2 linked regions of the Pelodiscus sinensis genome follow. The protein of the gene in region 1 purifies or fractionates together with the protein of each later gene. This does not show direct contact. Links are inferred from orthologs where the notes say so. Each region holds a gene or a part of one and is shown in the gene's direction. Other genes may lie near its edges.

Region 1 (6,984 bases):
GCCCTCATGGCAGAACCAAGCACCGTCTAGATCATGCCTAAAAGGGCAAAGGAACCACGCTCTTGGGGATATTGCCTACATGGGATTCCTGGGTCCTTCCTTTTCAAGGGAAACCAGCCCTTTCGTACTGGGGTATTGGCTTGAACCTCTGCCCCAACAAAACAAACCTTTCAGTTTCAAAAGAAACAAGAGGCCCTTCTACCGTACCTGGCTCTGTAACTCAGGTCCAGCTGGGTATTGACTTGGATAGGGAGCTCTAGACTGCACCGCTGAGTTCCAGTAGTTGGACCCATATCCCGGATAAGGAGGCTGTTCCTAAGGAAAATAAAGCAGCTCATTTTCTCATCGCAACAGTCATGGTTCCAGGGCCCCTGTATTCCTCCCCTCCGGACCAGCAAGGGCGGCTACTCTCAGATTTCTGCTCCCCAGCCATCACCTCTCCTAGCAGAGACACGTCTCTCTCCTTCCTGACTGGGGTACTTCCAGGCTGCACAGATCCTTGTCTGCACTTTGATTGCCCCAGCTGAAGTGGCCGCACAGCTCTAAGCAAGCAGGTTTCAATCTCATGATAAAAATCATTGCAGAGAAAAGCGAGAACAACAACAGACTGACACCCACGGTAATAAGCTCACCAGAGATGCTTCCCGAACTCCAACAAGGCTTCTGACAGGTTACCAGACCCTCCAAGCCCAACACCGGAGTGTTTTTGTGGCCACAAGTTCATACCAGCTTTCGCTCAGAACAAGCACTTCCCCACCCCACACATCGGGGAATCCGGGTCTGTCTACACTGTGCAGCTTTTAGCAACAAGGCCCTGTCGCTACACAGCTATGAGAGAGAACACTGGTTTTCGGCAGTTTGCTGACAAAATGCTCCTTCCCCCCACTGAACAGGCTTTGTTTTGTCAGCAGGAAAGCGCGTGCACTCCCCCCCCCCGCCCCGCACACACATTGCTTTTGCCTTTGTTATAGTCAAGCTTATCGGAGGCCTTTCATTGCGAGAGGGGGCTGCTAGCAGCCCGGATCTGCCTGTTAGGAATGCATGTGGATCACTGGCAAACCTTGCTCTGAGCTGTACATGTACACAGCCACCGCTGCAATCCTCATCTCCAAGAACCAGGCTGTGCTCAGGCCAGGTGGATCAGACCATTATCTTACTACACCAACAGAGTGAGGAACCTGTTACTGATGCACCATCTTCAGCACGGCGCTGTCATCCACTGCCCTCTGGCGCCAGGGGGGCTGAAATTGCTTTACTACACAAATGAGCCTCACACTTCCCCTGGGAAGTTACTCCTCCAATTGTACGGGATATAAGGAGCTCACCAAGCTGCCTTGTGGGGGGTCTGTACAGAGAAAGGAATGGAGAGACACAGCCCCTTTCTAACAGCATGGTTTAAACACGTCTCCACTCTCAGCAGACCTCTCATGGCTTACAGGAAGACAAGCTTCAAGCTCGGGATCCCCACCTCGCAGACTAGAACGGGGTGATGGCAACATGTCATTTCAGGAGTTGGATGCTCTGGGTAATTTCACTTTTGACCCTGAATATAACTCTGAGTGTTCTTAACCTTAAAGTAGACGAATTAACTTTTGGAGTCCCACAAGTAGCATTAACTCTAGAAACCACCATTTGATCCACTGGGCCCATGCCGCTTTGGATATGAGAATGCAGGCCTCTGGTTTTCTGATATCTCTTTTCTTTTTCTTCTACAGTTTTTCCCAAGTCTTATAACCAGTAAGTTACTAGACCCCACTACCCAGCTAACTCTACTGCACCTGCCACATGGGTGATGCTTATCAGTTCTGGTTAACTGGTGGGGGCTAGAGCTTCAGCCCAGCCAGAACAGCCCCGTCTATGGCAGGCTCAGGTGCACCACCTGCAGGGGTGCTCCAGCCTCTGTCCGCAGCAGGCCCCGACTGCGGTGGAGAGGCTGCTCCAGCCCAGCTGTGGGTTAAACATTACATTTAACCAGTTAACCAATTCAATAGGATTTGACATCCCTAATTCTGAGAAGATACTTGGCTACCACTACAACGATGTCTAGACCCACATTCACCTGCAAAAAGGACCAAACATATATACAACCACAGTACCGCTTTGCCTCGAACGGCACAAGAAAATGGGTTCCCTGAGGGAGGAGGTTGGGGGGTGTTAGTGCAGAGATTGTAAAGAGCCCATGGTTTGTATTCATGTACCCTCCCTGCCCCATGGGATGAAAAGAGGCAGCATTAGAGCTAGCAAAAGATTAGACAATGTCTAATAATAAAAAACGTGAAGAGAATTCATAGCAAGACCTGTTGCAGTGCTGTGGGGGAAGAGACTGCCTGCACAGACTGCTGTATGTGAAACATAACACACTCTGTAAAAGACCTGAAAGGGTATTTTCAAATCTTCACACCCAATGCAATTCCAAGCCTTTTCCAAGCTTCTCCCCTGTCCAGGCTAGCTGCCAGAATCAAAACCTCCTCCCTCTCCAGATGCTGAGGTGGCACAGAATCACTTTCCAGTAGTGGTTAGAAGAATAATACTCTCATACAGCAGGCTCAAGCCTCTTTGTTAGTGCACCAGTGGGACTGTGTCAAGGCAGCCTTAAGGGCGAGGTGATGCAGAGTTGGCTTCTGATCACAGTAATAACAAGAGAAATGCTAAATCAATTAAACAGAGCAAAGATTCAGGAACAAAGGAGCGATTTAGCTTAACTGCATCTCAGAGCAGCCACCTCTTCCACACCAGGATAGCGACAGACCATAACACCCAAGGCATCTGCATCACTGTTCCCTATAAGCCGAGCGCTTGGGCAGTCACCCGGGAGAGATACCGCCCAGCTGATTTAGCAGAGCACTCATAGCTGGCAGCAAGTGTTTTGACTGGTGGTGCACATCTGCACATGCCTCAGTGCATGTAACAAAATTTACAAGGCACATGGATGGAAAAAATTACAGGGAACATGCACCCTGGAACCGCAGTTTCCTTCCCCAGCTCCCGTCAGGTGTGTTCATAAGGGAGCCCCCACCTCAGGCTCCGCAGCAGGTCAAAGCCCACGGATTTCACTCCATCTCCCCCCACCCAGATTAGGACCAGCCCCTCATCGATTCTGCCCATGCACCACCGGGGCACAACCCTCCCCCATCTCACTCCCGCCAGGGCAGGACCCTCCCCAACAAACTCCAGCCCCCCTCCCCAGAGACAAGCCCCGCCCCCTTTTCACACCCCTCCGGCAGGACCCTCCCCAACTCACTCCAGCCCCTCCCCCCAGGGACAAGCCCCGCCCCTTCTCACCCCCCCCGGGCAGGCTCCTCCCCCCAGAGACAAGCCCCGCCCCCTCTCACCCCTCCCCCCCGGGCAGGACCCTCCCTAACAAACTCCAGCCCCGCCCCCCAGGGACAAGCCCCGCCCCTTCTCGCCCCCGGGCAGGCTCCTCCCCCCAGGGACAAGCCCCGCCCCCCGTTACCTGAGGGCCGCCCCGCCCGGGCCTGTCCCAGGCGCCCCCCGCCGCGGGGCTGTAGCCGCCCCCGGCCCAGCTCGGCCCGGCGCCGCGGTGCTGCGGGCAGGCCCAGGGGCCCGGGGGCGGCTCCGGCTCCGGCCCGTGGAGCAGCCGCCGCAGGGCAGACATTCCCAGCGCCGCTCCGGGCTGCCAGCCGCCCCGCCGCGCCTGCGCGGAACCCGCCAATCCCCGGCCGCGACACAGCCCCCCGCCCCATCGTGACCAGCTCCGCCAATCGCCACGGGGGGCCCAGGCCAATCGCCTCAGCCAATCCCTGGCAGGGTCCCGCCCCTGCCGAGCGCATCGGCCAATCAGACCTAGGGTTCCACATTCTAAGGAGGTCAACACAAACGTACCCAATCAGCGTCAACTTTCTTCCCCTCAGCCCCCGGTTCACCAATCGGAGAAGGGCACACAAGGCCCGGGTCTTAAAGAGACAGGCACAAAGCGCCCCTTCGCCAGCGCTGCCTGCCGCCAGCGAGCAGTGAGGGGGCGGGGCTATTTCTGCCCCGCCCACCGCTGGGCGGGTCCATCCGGGGCCGATGGCGGCGCTTCCGCTGCGTGAGGGGGCGGCGGGCGCGGGGCAGGATGAACTACATGCCGGGCACGGCCAGCCTCATCCAGGACATCGACAGTGAGTCCGCCCCGCCCCCCCGGGCCCCCCCCCCCTCGGGCCCCCGCCCCCTCGGACCCCCCCTCGGCCCCCCCGCCGGGCCCCGCCCCCTCCTCGGGCCCCCCGGGCCCCGGGCCCCCCTCGGCTCCCCCGCCGGGCCCCGCCCCCTCCTCGGGCCCCCGCCCCCCCGGACCCCCCCTCGGCCCCCCCGCCGGGCCCCGCCCCCTCCTCGGGCCCCCGCCCCCCCGGACCCCCCCTCGGCTCCCCCGCCGGGCCCCGCCCCCTCCTCGGGCCCCCGCCCCCCCGGACCCCCCCTCGGCCCCCCCGCCGGGCCCCGCCCCCTCCTCGGGCCCCCGGGCCCCCCCCGCCGGGCCCCGCCCCCTCCTCGGGCCCCCGCCCCCTCGGACCCCCCCTCGGCCCCCCCGCCGGGCCCCGCCGGGCCCCGCCCTCTCCCCCTCCTCGGCCCCCCTCCTGGCCCCGCCCCCTCACTCTCTCGGTCTCGGCCCCGCCCCCTCCCAGCCTCCCCCGCCGGGCCCCGCCCCCTCCTTGGCCCACGGCTCCCACTGGGCTTCTGGCCCCCACTTTCCCGGCGGCCCCCTTCTCCTCAGCCCCCTTCCACTGGGCTCCGTGAGCCCCCCCTCCCGACTCCCGCGCAGGTCCTGCCGCTTCCTCGGCCCCGTTCCCGCACCCCTCTCCCCACTGGTGCGGGGAAAAAATTGGTTGAGCAAAAACAATTTTAAAAAAGGCACCAAAAAGGAGCGACTGCGCCTTTCAATCCCCTCCGCCCCCACCAGGCATGGCAGGGGGAGAATGAAGCATGTCCCCAGCGGCCTTCCCGCCGAGAACATGTTCCCTATTTTCTGGTTGTTTTTTTTTAACAAAACAGAAGCCGCAAATACCGGACTGTCTGGGCCGATCCTGGACACCTGGCAACCCTAGCCCTGGGGCCACACCAGCCTGGGCCCTGCCACCCCTCCCTGTCGGGGTGCAGCCGTGGGCCCGCACAGACTGTTCCCATAGCAATGTCGGCAGGCCCCATGTCTGACCCTTCCTCAGGCTGAGCCTGGCCACTTCCCCCCAGTCCTGGCTCTGGGGACCTACCCTGCCCCAAAACGGAAGGTTGGATCCATTTTGGCCAGTGGGGATCATGCGGTGTGTCCGGCGGGTGCTGATTTAATATCTCTTCCAGAAAAACACTTGGTCCTCCTTCGAGATGGTAGAACACTAATAGGATATTTACGGAGCATCGATCAGTTTGGTACGTGAGCAAGTGGCCTCGTTCTTAGTCTAAACCGTCTCTGCCTCATGCATAGAACCCTGCAAATCCACAGTTATTGGCTTTATATCCATGCGTATCTGCATCTGCAAATATCCACTGCTCAGTGTTATGGATTTGGATGCAAACTTTGTATCTGGACCCCTACAAATCTGTAGATGTCCACTTTATATTTGCAGGTGTCCACATCCATGGATCATATTTTTAGATGCAGCTACCATAAATCCACTGTTTATAGTTCTTCAGCAGACAGTGCTGAAAGCTGCTGTTCCATGGGTAATGCATGTGTGTCACAAGCCTTTGGCCTGAGGCAAATAGAAGTCATCTTGGAAAAGTTACAGTTGCCGAAGCCAGTCCCTGAGGTGAGGACAGGTTATTGCTAGTAATCAGCGTTGGTCTCCATGGTGCTGCTGCTTGGAGGTATTTGCTGACAGATGTTACAGTGGCTGCTGTTCTCAATGCTGGAGAGGGGCAAAGGAGGCTATTTCATTGTGTGTTTGACTTTTAATTCTCCCTCTCTGCTCAGACATTCCCTAGCCCCCTTTTGGTATGTTCCACTCCCCTTCTTGATTGCAAAGACCTTTGCACGTCAGAACTCAATAGCTCTGGAAAGGCTTCTCGTTTCAAAATCGGTGAAAATGTTTTATCATTTTAAACCAGGGGTCGGCAATCTTTTCAAACCGAAGAGCCAAACGACATCAACACTCAGAACAAGCGGCCAACAAAGAGCCGCATCACAATGCCTGTCTACCTGACTGAAAATATTCGACTTCATGATACTGATAATTGACATGAGGCTCAATCAGAGCATAAATGAAACCTCGTACTCCCAGACTTATTCAATGGGGTTTCTGCTGCTGCGTCTTTTCGCACATTTCTTTGATGTTTACATCACAACTGGTCACGTTCAGGTTCATGCCGCATTCAAGCTACACGAGTCACGGCGCATTTTTAAAATTTTGAATTCATTTTTCATTTTAATGTGAAAAGTGGCATGTGTTTTGGGACTGACACGAGCCGGATTTGGTTCCATGCTGAGCCAGATTTGGCTTGAGAGCCACAGGTTGCAGACCCCTGGTTTAAAGACCTTGACTCACCCCTAGGGGGAGCCAGGCACCTCCCAAACAGTGCTCTGAGAGCCGAGAGGAGCTGAGTGGATGGCCAGTTTGGCTGGAACAGACTAATGCAGCCACCTCTCTGAAACCTGTCAGTCTGCATGACGCTGGTGAAAACAGAGCAGAGTAGGTGCTGCAGTGCGGGACGGTGACTCGGGGCGGGGGGGAGGCACGTGGCAGAGATCTTACACCATGCACATCCCTGCTTTGCCCAGCTGTGAGTCGAGATCTCTTCACGCTGCCCCTCCCTCTGGGTCCAGCCCTGGCAGAGAGAATCGCCAGGTGTGCTGCAGCTGCAGTGGCTCCTAGTATGAAACTCTCGGGGGTGGGAGGCAAGGCAGTCTCTGGAAGGCTGCAGGTGCAGCCCGTGGAGATCAAGATGAGTCTGTCTCCTCCCTGCAGGGATGCAGGGCAAGCCCCCCTTTGACCCAGCCATGCCAAAGCCCCATGCAGACACTGCGCTGCTGGGAAGATTAGCCAGGAATGATCTTTA
Region 2 (7,361 bases), on another chromosome or scaffold:
ATTAAAACTGACCCTGTCCTACAAAAAGTTTCTTTTTGATGAACTGGCATTTTCTGGCCAAAAAAAAAAAAAGAGTTTTGTAAACACATTCCTAGCCGTTTCTGTGCTTCCCCTGCTGGTATCCCAAAACATAGAATCACAGAGTTTAAGGCTAAAAGGGACCATCCAATTGTTTGGTCTGACCCTCTGTATATCACAGGCCACCAACACCACCCAGCATCCACACACTAAATCTAATAACCAAATCAGACCAAAGTATTAGAGTCTACAGCAGACTAGACTATTATGTGCCACAGGCAGAGAACAGGACAGACTGAGGTGCACTGGTGCCTGAGACTCCAGCAATGGCAGGGAAATGAGTAGGTGAGATATACCCAGATACTTCTGGCAAGTGTCCCGCATCCACATGCTGCAGAGGAAAGTGAATCCCACCCAATTCCTTCCTGACCCCACATATAGCTATCAGTCCAGGGGTGGGAACCTTTTTTGGGCTGGGGGCCGCTGACCCACAGAAAAATCCATTGGGGGCTGCACACAGATGAGAAACAAAAATACCACTCACTAACGTTCTCCTGACTAAGAAGGAGAAAGACACTCCCCACAGTCTCCCTCACACATCAGAGCAGTGGTCCCCAACCATTTGAAGCTGCCGGGCGCCAGAAGGCGTGGCCGTTCGCCTGTCGGGCGCCAGAGGGCGGGGACACTCGCGCACCTGGGGGTGGGGCCGCGCATACGCCACACCCTCATGAGCCATGTGCCTGGGGCCAGCAACCCTATGCGCCACGTGGCCAAGGGCGGGAGGGCCGCCCATTCACAGCAAGCCTGGTGCCAGCATCCTCCAGAGCTACACGCCCAAAGCTGGCACTCCTTCCCCCATAGCTGCGTGCCCGGGGGCGGGGTGGCCAATTCGCCGCGCTCCCAGGGCCAGCGCCCCCCATAGCCGCACGCCCGGGGCCGGCGCCCTCCATAGCCATGCACCCGGAGGTGGGGCGGCCAATTCGCTGTGCGCCCGGGGGCCAGAGCACCCAATTCGCCACGTGCCCGGGGCCAGCTCCGGCACTGCACATGCGCCATGCGCCCGGGGTGGGGCCAGCCCCGAGCACTTGGTGGGCACAAACAAATGCCCCCGCGGGCGCCATGGCACCCACGGGCACTGTGATGGGGATCACTGCATCAGAGTCTAGGGAAGTCCAGGCTAGTAGATTTTGTGTGCTCCAGGGCAACAGGGGGAGGGGGAGAGAGCTGGAGCTGTAATGTACATGTAACCCACCCTCACCCATTTTGCCTAGTGCTCTGTCCCTGCTAAAGGTGGCTGGACCACAAAATAGAGGCTGATTTGACTGCTTTAGCCCTGGCTAACAGAGAGTCTCAGGAGCTGGATCCAGACAAGCCAAGACATCCAGACATTCAGCCCTCGAGCCTCAGGTTCCCCACCCCTGAATTTGACCCTGAACAGAAAATGCCCTTCCACTGAGCATCTATGCAATAGGTATTCACTGGGCCCAGAAAATGCCCATGCCCAGGGCACAGTTACATAGTGGCTGCAGGAACATCCCAGAAGAAGCTTGATTTCTTCCTGCCAGCATGTGAGACTCCGGAAAGAAAACTGGCTGTGCATGCAGAAGTGAAACTGACTGAGCACAAAGTATCTGTTTCATTTTCACTTTCTTTCCACCTCAGTCTCTTGGAGCATTGATCTGCAAGCCAAAGAACATCAGACAGCAGCTGGTCTGATGTTCCCACAGTAATGTACATGTAACCCACTCTCACTCATTCTGACTAGTGCTCTGTCCCTGCTAGAGGTGGCTGGACCACAAAATAGAGACTGATTTGCTTGCTTCAGCTGTAACTAACGGAGTTGTCCCTAGACTGGAACATCTTATGCCTTAACATCCAAAGGCCTCTGGGTCAATCCCTGCTGTTGACAACATACTTGCATTCCACAAAGAATGAATCATAATTAACAACATCCACTTCCACAACTGTTTTCTTAGTTATCCAGGTACCCTTCCTAAAACAGAGTCCTACTATTTGTTAGACCAGGGCACTGGAACTCAGGAACCTGGCATTCTATTCTCACCTTTGCTGAAATCCTTAACTGTAGTGCCTCGATTTCCCCAAATGAAACATGAGGGTAATAATAACGATGCACCCACTATTTTGAAAAATACTTTGAACATCTATGTATATAATACGTTGATTATGAATTGTAATCATTACTATTATTAAGTTATAATAATAATAATTATTAGTATCTTCCTGATTATGTGCTTGGTATGGCTGGAGGGTGAATAAAAAGGGTAAAGCAGAAAGAGAGTGAATGATAAAAACATGAATTTTGTTATGTTATTTGTATAGCACGAATAGCATGCATAGCACTGTATAGACAGGAATAGAGAGCAGGTCCTTCTCCTTGAAAGCTGACAATCTAAGCAGTCAATGTACAGATAGAGAGAAAAGGCCATAACAAAAGCCATGTACGTGGGTGGGGAGGTCTAGCATGTGCCATCAGGATACCATGACTTAAGAGGGATGGGGGCTGGTAGAGATTTTCTTCAAGGTCAGAATCTGTGCCTTTTACGCAGTGTCACCAAACCCAGGCATGCAAAAATCATGAGTCAGGTGCCCACAAATTCATGAGCTGGCACTAAGAAAAGCAGGAATTTCAGCAAAGACACCAGAAATGAAATTATGTTGGTCCTGGACACAGAGACACAGGACTTGGCTGTAAATTGGTGCTTGAAGTGGTAGGCAAAACAACTAAAAAAAGGGGGGGGTCATCACCCCCTTATCTGCCCTTCCTCTCTCCAGCAATTAGTTCTGCTCCCCCATCCCCAAACCAGTTCTATCCCCCTTAGTTTCACAAACACACCATCAATTTTGCCTTCACTGTTCTGTCCCCAGCCTCACTGTTCCCTCCTGATGGGAAGGAGAGCGCCGCTTGTCTTCTGTAGCTGCTCTGATTGGCTGCTCTTCCCCAGGAGGCAAATAAGTGAGGAAAGCCGCCAGTCAAGAAGGGTTTCTCCCCACTGATGTGGCAGGACTGAAACATGCACTGATCTCTGAACTTTTACCGTTTGGCTCCATGCCCCAGGGCACTTTACTGACTGGCTGTAATGGATAGAAAGGGGATTCCTGCCTGAGGCTGTTTGACACAGATTGGCTTCACTCTGCTCTTCCAGACCCCAGACTAACAGCCCGTAATGTCTAGTGTCATCAAACAGACTTAGCCTGGGGTAGGCAATGGTAGGAGGAATTGAAGAGATAGAAAGATAGAGTGTATGAGGATATCTAGATGGAGTGTATGGGGATAGATAGATAGATAGATAGATAGATAGATAGATAGATAGATAGATAGATAGATAGATAGATAGATAGATAGAGTGAATGTGTGGGGATAGATGAGAGAGAGAGTGAAAGATGTAGGGTGTGTAGGGGATGGGGGAAGGGAGGAAGCAGCCTAAGGTTTGCTTACTTCCCAAGGGGCACAATGCAGAAGCACGAGGAGCAGGAAGAAGATCCCTGAAGCTGTGTTTGAAGGGGGACTTGCAGGAGGCGGGGGTCACGCAGGACTGGGGCCCCCAAAGAGCAGCAGGACGAAGCAGCCTGGGGGTGGGTAACTGAGCAAAGAGCATGAGGCTGCCCAGGCTGCAGCAGAAGCAGCCGGGGAGTGTGGCACAGGCGGGGCGGTGGCCCCCGTGTGCGAGGCCTCCTGGCAGTGCCTCGTGCGGATCCCGGGGCCCTGGCGGGGCGGCTCGGCCTTTCGGGCAGCAGGGCTCTGGTGCCCCATTGGGTGTGTGGGGGCTGTTGAGGCTGCCCAGCGCTGGGGCAAATCAGTGAGGGTGTAAAGAGGGGCCTGCCACTAGGGAGACCTCCCCCAGCCTTCAGTGCTCTGGTCAAAGGAAAAGGAAAGAGACGCTGTCCCTTTAAGAGGCCACAGGCAGAGAAAGGGACACTGGCCCTTTAAGAGGCCACAGGCAGGGAAAGGGACACTGGCCCTTTAAGAGGCCACAGGCAGGGAAAGGGACACTGGCCTTTAAGAGGCCAAAGGCAGGGAAAGAGACACTGGCCCTTTAAGAGGCCACAGGCAGGGAAAGGGACACTGGCCCTTTAAGAGGCCACAGGCAGGGAAAGAGTCTCTGCCCCTTTAAGAGGCCACAGGCAGGGAAAGAGTCTCTGCCCCTTTAAGAGGCCACAGGCAGGGAAGGGACACTGGCCCTTTAAGAGGCCACAGGCAGGGAAAGGGACACTGGCCCTTTAAGAGTGGCCCCAGGCGCTGTTTCTTTAACAGCAGGAGCAGGGCCGCTAGACGTAGTGCGCCTGCGTACCGACAGGAAAGGCCGGGGAGGGTTGCGCGATGACGTCATAATCATGTGTCCTGACGGCGACGCATGCGTAGCGAGGGGCGGGGGTTCGGAGCCGGAGCGGGGTCCGCGCGGAGCCTCCCTGGCGGTGGGAGTCTCCGCGCCGCTCACCATGTTCCGCTACCAGGTGAGGGGCTGCCCCGGGCACCGCCCACCCCGCCTGCGACCTTTGACCTCTGACCTCCGCCCCTGCGCTACTTCTCCCCCGTCCCCCCCCCCCCGCTCGGAGCCCCAACTTCCTCCTCGGTCACGGGGCGGGGCTGGCGGGAACGGCTGGGGGGTGCCAAAGGGGCACGGCCGGGGGGGGGCGTGGGCCAGAGGAGCACGGGCTGGCGGGTGTTATGGGCTGGGGGGGGCTAGCCCTGGGGGGGGTGCAGGAGGGGCACGAGCTGGAGGGTCATGGGCTGGCAGGCTAGGTCTGGGGCGGGATTGCAGGGGAGTCTGAGGGGCACGTGTGTCTGGGGGGTGGGGCGTGGCTGGGGAGGCTTGGGTATTTTGGACATTGTTGGCGGGAGCTGTGGGGTGGGGTTGGGGCTGGAGGACGCAGTTCTGAGAGGTGGGGGGGTGGGTCAGGGATTGTGTCTGGAGGGGCATAGGATTCTGGGTGGGTACAGGCAGGGGGTGTTGACTGGGAGGCCTGGCTTGTGGGTGTGTTGGGCTGCTGGGGGAGGTCTGTGGGAGGTACCTTTGGGGAAGCATGAGCTAGAGGGCCTCTGTAGGGAGTGGTGTGATTTGGGGAGGGGTCTCAGTTGTGTGGATGTTGGGCCACGGTCCAGGAGGGCCCTCTGTTGCAGGGTGCATGGTCGGGTACAAGCCAGTGTGGCGGGGGCACACATGGCGCAGATACTGTGGCCTGGAGTAGGGGGCTCTGAGGGTGATTCTACAGGGTGTGGGCTGGGTCGTCCTTCAGAAGGAGGTAGCATGACCGATAGGCTAAAGCTGCCTCTTTGAGGTGGGAATGCAGAATGTGGGCTGGGGTCAAGGTGACTGAGGGGGCTGCATGGGCCATAGTATGTACCTTTCTTAGGATGTGCGATATGAAGGGTGCATGTCTTTTGGAGCAGGAACTATTGGGGTACAGGCCTGGGGCTGCTCTTTTGAGTCTGATGTACATGGGGGGGTATGTGCATCTGAGTTAGATTCTGGTTATGGGATCAGGAGGTGGCACAGAGAGATGCCCGGGGATGTTGGCCAATCAGGTTAGATTTGCTGATACAGGTTGAACCTCTCTAGTCTGGCACCACTGGTGCTGAACCAGAGAATTTGCCAAACATGGGAGGTCAATATTGTTAAGCAGCATCGCCAACACTTCCACTACTTACTGGGATCTTAGAAGACATTTAGGGGTAAATTAGAGCTGAATCAGAGCACTGAGAGCCAAGAATGATGGCTGTAAGCAAACTTTATGGGACCATGGGAAACTTGGTCAGACCTAGGATAGGGGACTAACTAAAATCATATTGGACCACAATTTTTGCCAGATGAAAGAGGTTCAGCCTGTAAGCTGATCCTAGTCTGTCTGCTGTGTTAACTGAAAAGTTGTGTGCTTTTAGGTGATGGGACTCAGAAAGTGAACAGTTTGAGGGAGAACCTAATTGAGTGGTGGGTATGGCGTAGCGCGTGCTTGCTGGCCACTATGTTTTTGTGAACTGAGGCTAGGAGCACACTTGTTTCTTACCCAGCTGGCTTGGGTCAGAGAAGGCATTTGAGTGGACACTCTTGGTCCATGCTGGGAGGCAAGGATACATGTGTCTTACATGTAAGTTATGTTTGTTGTATGGTGTATGTCAGGTACCATGTTTCAGGGTGTGCATGGGAGGAATATGGGGCATGCTTGGTCTTGGTAGGAGAGTATTCTTTGTATTTCTCTGGCTCCTGTCACACTCACAATCTTTAGCATATTTATCATTGTAGCACCTGTGTAAGGCAGGGCTGTGCTATTTTCTCTTTGTACAGATGGTGAACAGGAGCCCCAAGAGACTTAGTGACTTGCTTGAAATGTCACAGTGGCAGAGCAGGGAAATTGATCCCAAACTGGACCCCGTAACCGCTGGACTTCCCTCCTTCCCCTCATGCTGTCTGGGGAGGTGTGCTTGAAATGGGATGTTTATCTGTGGGGTGGCATTCTTTGTAAGGAGGGGGTGAGTGAGAGAGAGAGGAGAATTATGTCTTTCCTGTGGGATGCACTTAGTCCATGATTGGGCAGAAGTACCTTGTTTGATGGTCGTGGGTGCCCTGTGGGTGGGTGTTTTGGGACACGCTTGCTGGGGAGTAACGTGCCTTGTCTGAGGAGTTGTGTTTAGTGTGTGCTGGAGGTGATGACTCTTTTTCTGCTGAAGGGCCACGCTTGGGATGTGCTGATATAGAGAAATGAGACCATCTCCACAGAATGGTTCAGACAGGCTCAGAGCCCTAGCTTTGGACACGAGGTGACTGAGGGAAGCCCACTTCGGTGATGCTGAATGGGCATGTCAAACTGACTTTTCTGGAAGCCGGTTCATTGTTCTTTCTTTGCTCTTTTCCAAGTCCCTGGAGGACTGTCCTCCGGATGAGGATGAAGATGCTTTTCAGACCCTGGGTGAGGAGGATGAAGATATCGACCAGTTCAATGATGACACGTTTGGAGCTGGTGCTATTGGTGATTGCTGCATTTCCCATTTACTGCCTCATCTCTGTTCCTAACTCTACTTCAGGGGAATGCCATAGCTGGCTGGAGATCTTCTTAGTCCTGCCCTTAGCCACTCCCACTCCTGCAGCTCCAGTCGTGGGTTGCTCCACCTAAAGCTCTGCTGATGTCCCTCAGTCTGACCTGTAGCATTTCCACACTATTCCAGTCCATTGGTGCCCGGGAGGTATAATTGGCTGCAGCATAAATGAGTGGTACTGAGGTGCCAGCCCTGCTTCCTTTCTGTGGTTCCCTTGCAGATGATGACTGGCAGGAGGCACATGAGCGGCTTGCAGAACTGGAAGACAAGCCTGCAACAGCTAGAGAGCTGG

The links. The genes of interacting proteins can lie anywhere in the genome.
Region 2: the proteins of LSM1 (region 1) and PATL1 purify together in Homo sapiens (co-immunoprecipitation; 3 studies listed by BioGRID and IntAct, with this or other methods). This does not show direct contact. The link is inferred for Pelodiscus sinensis from reciprocal best matches to the Homo sapiens genes LSM1 and PATL1.

Annotation. Positions count from the first base shown.
Region 1 is NC_134738.1:15,375,910-15,382,893, reverse strand, and holds the start of LSM1 (U6 snRNA-associated Sm-like protein LSm1), read left to right. Parts: upstream 1-3,964; 5' UTR 3,965-4,075; coding exon 4,076-4,121; intron 4,122-5,289; coding exon 5,290-5,358; intron 5,359-6,984. UniProt on the Homo sapiens protein: Plays a role in the degradation of histone mRNAs, the only eukaryotic mRNAs that are not polyadenylated. Probably also part of an LSm subunits-containing complex involved in the general process of mRNA degradation.
Region 2 is NC_134714.1:126,410,752-126,418,112, forward strand, and holds the start of PATL1 (protein PAT1 homolog 1), read left to right. Parts: upstream 1-4,346; 5' UTR 4,347-4,371; coding exon 4,372-4,491; intron 4,492-5,039; exon of another isoform or gene 5,040-6,090; coding exon of another isoform or gene 6,091-6,123; intron 6,124-6,175; exon of another isoform or gene 6,176-6,436; coding exon of another isoform or gene 6,437-6,505; intron 6,506-6,890; coding exon 6,891-7,002; intron 7,003-7,289; coding exon 7,290-7,361. UniProt on the Homo sapiens protein: RNA-binding protein involved in deadenylation-dependent decapping of mRNAs, leading to the degradation of mRNAs. Acts as a scaffold protein that connects deadenylation and decapping machinery.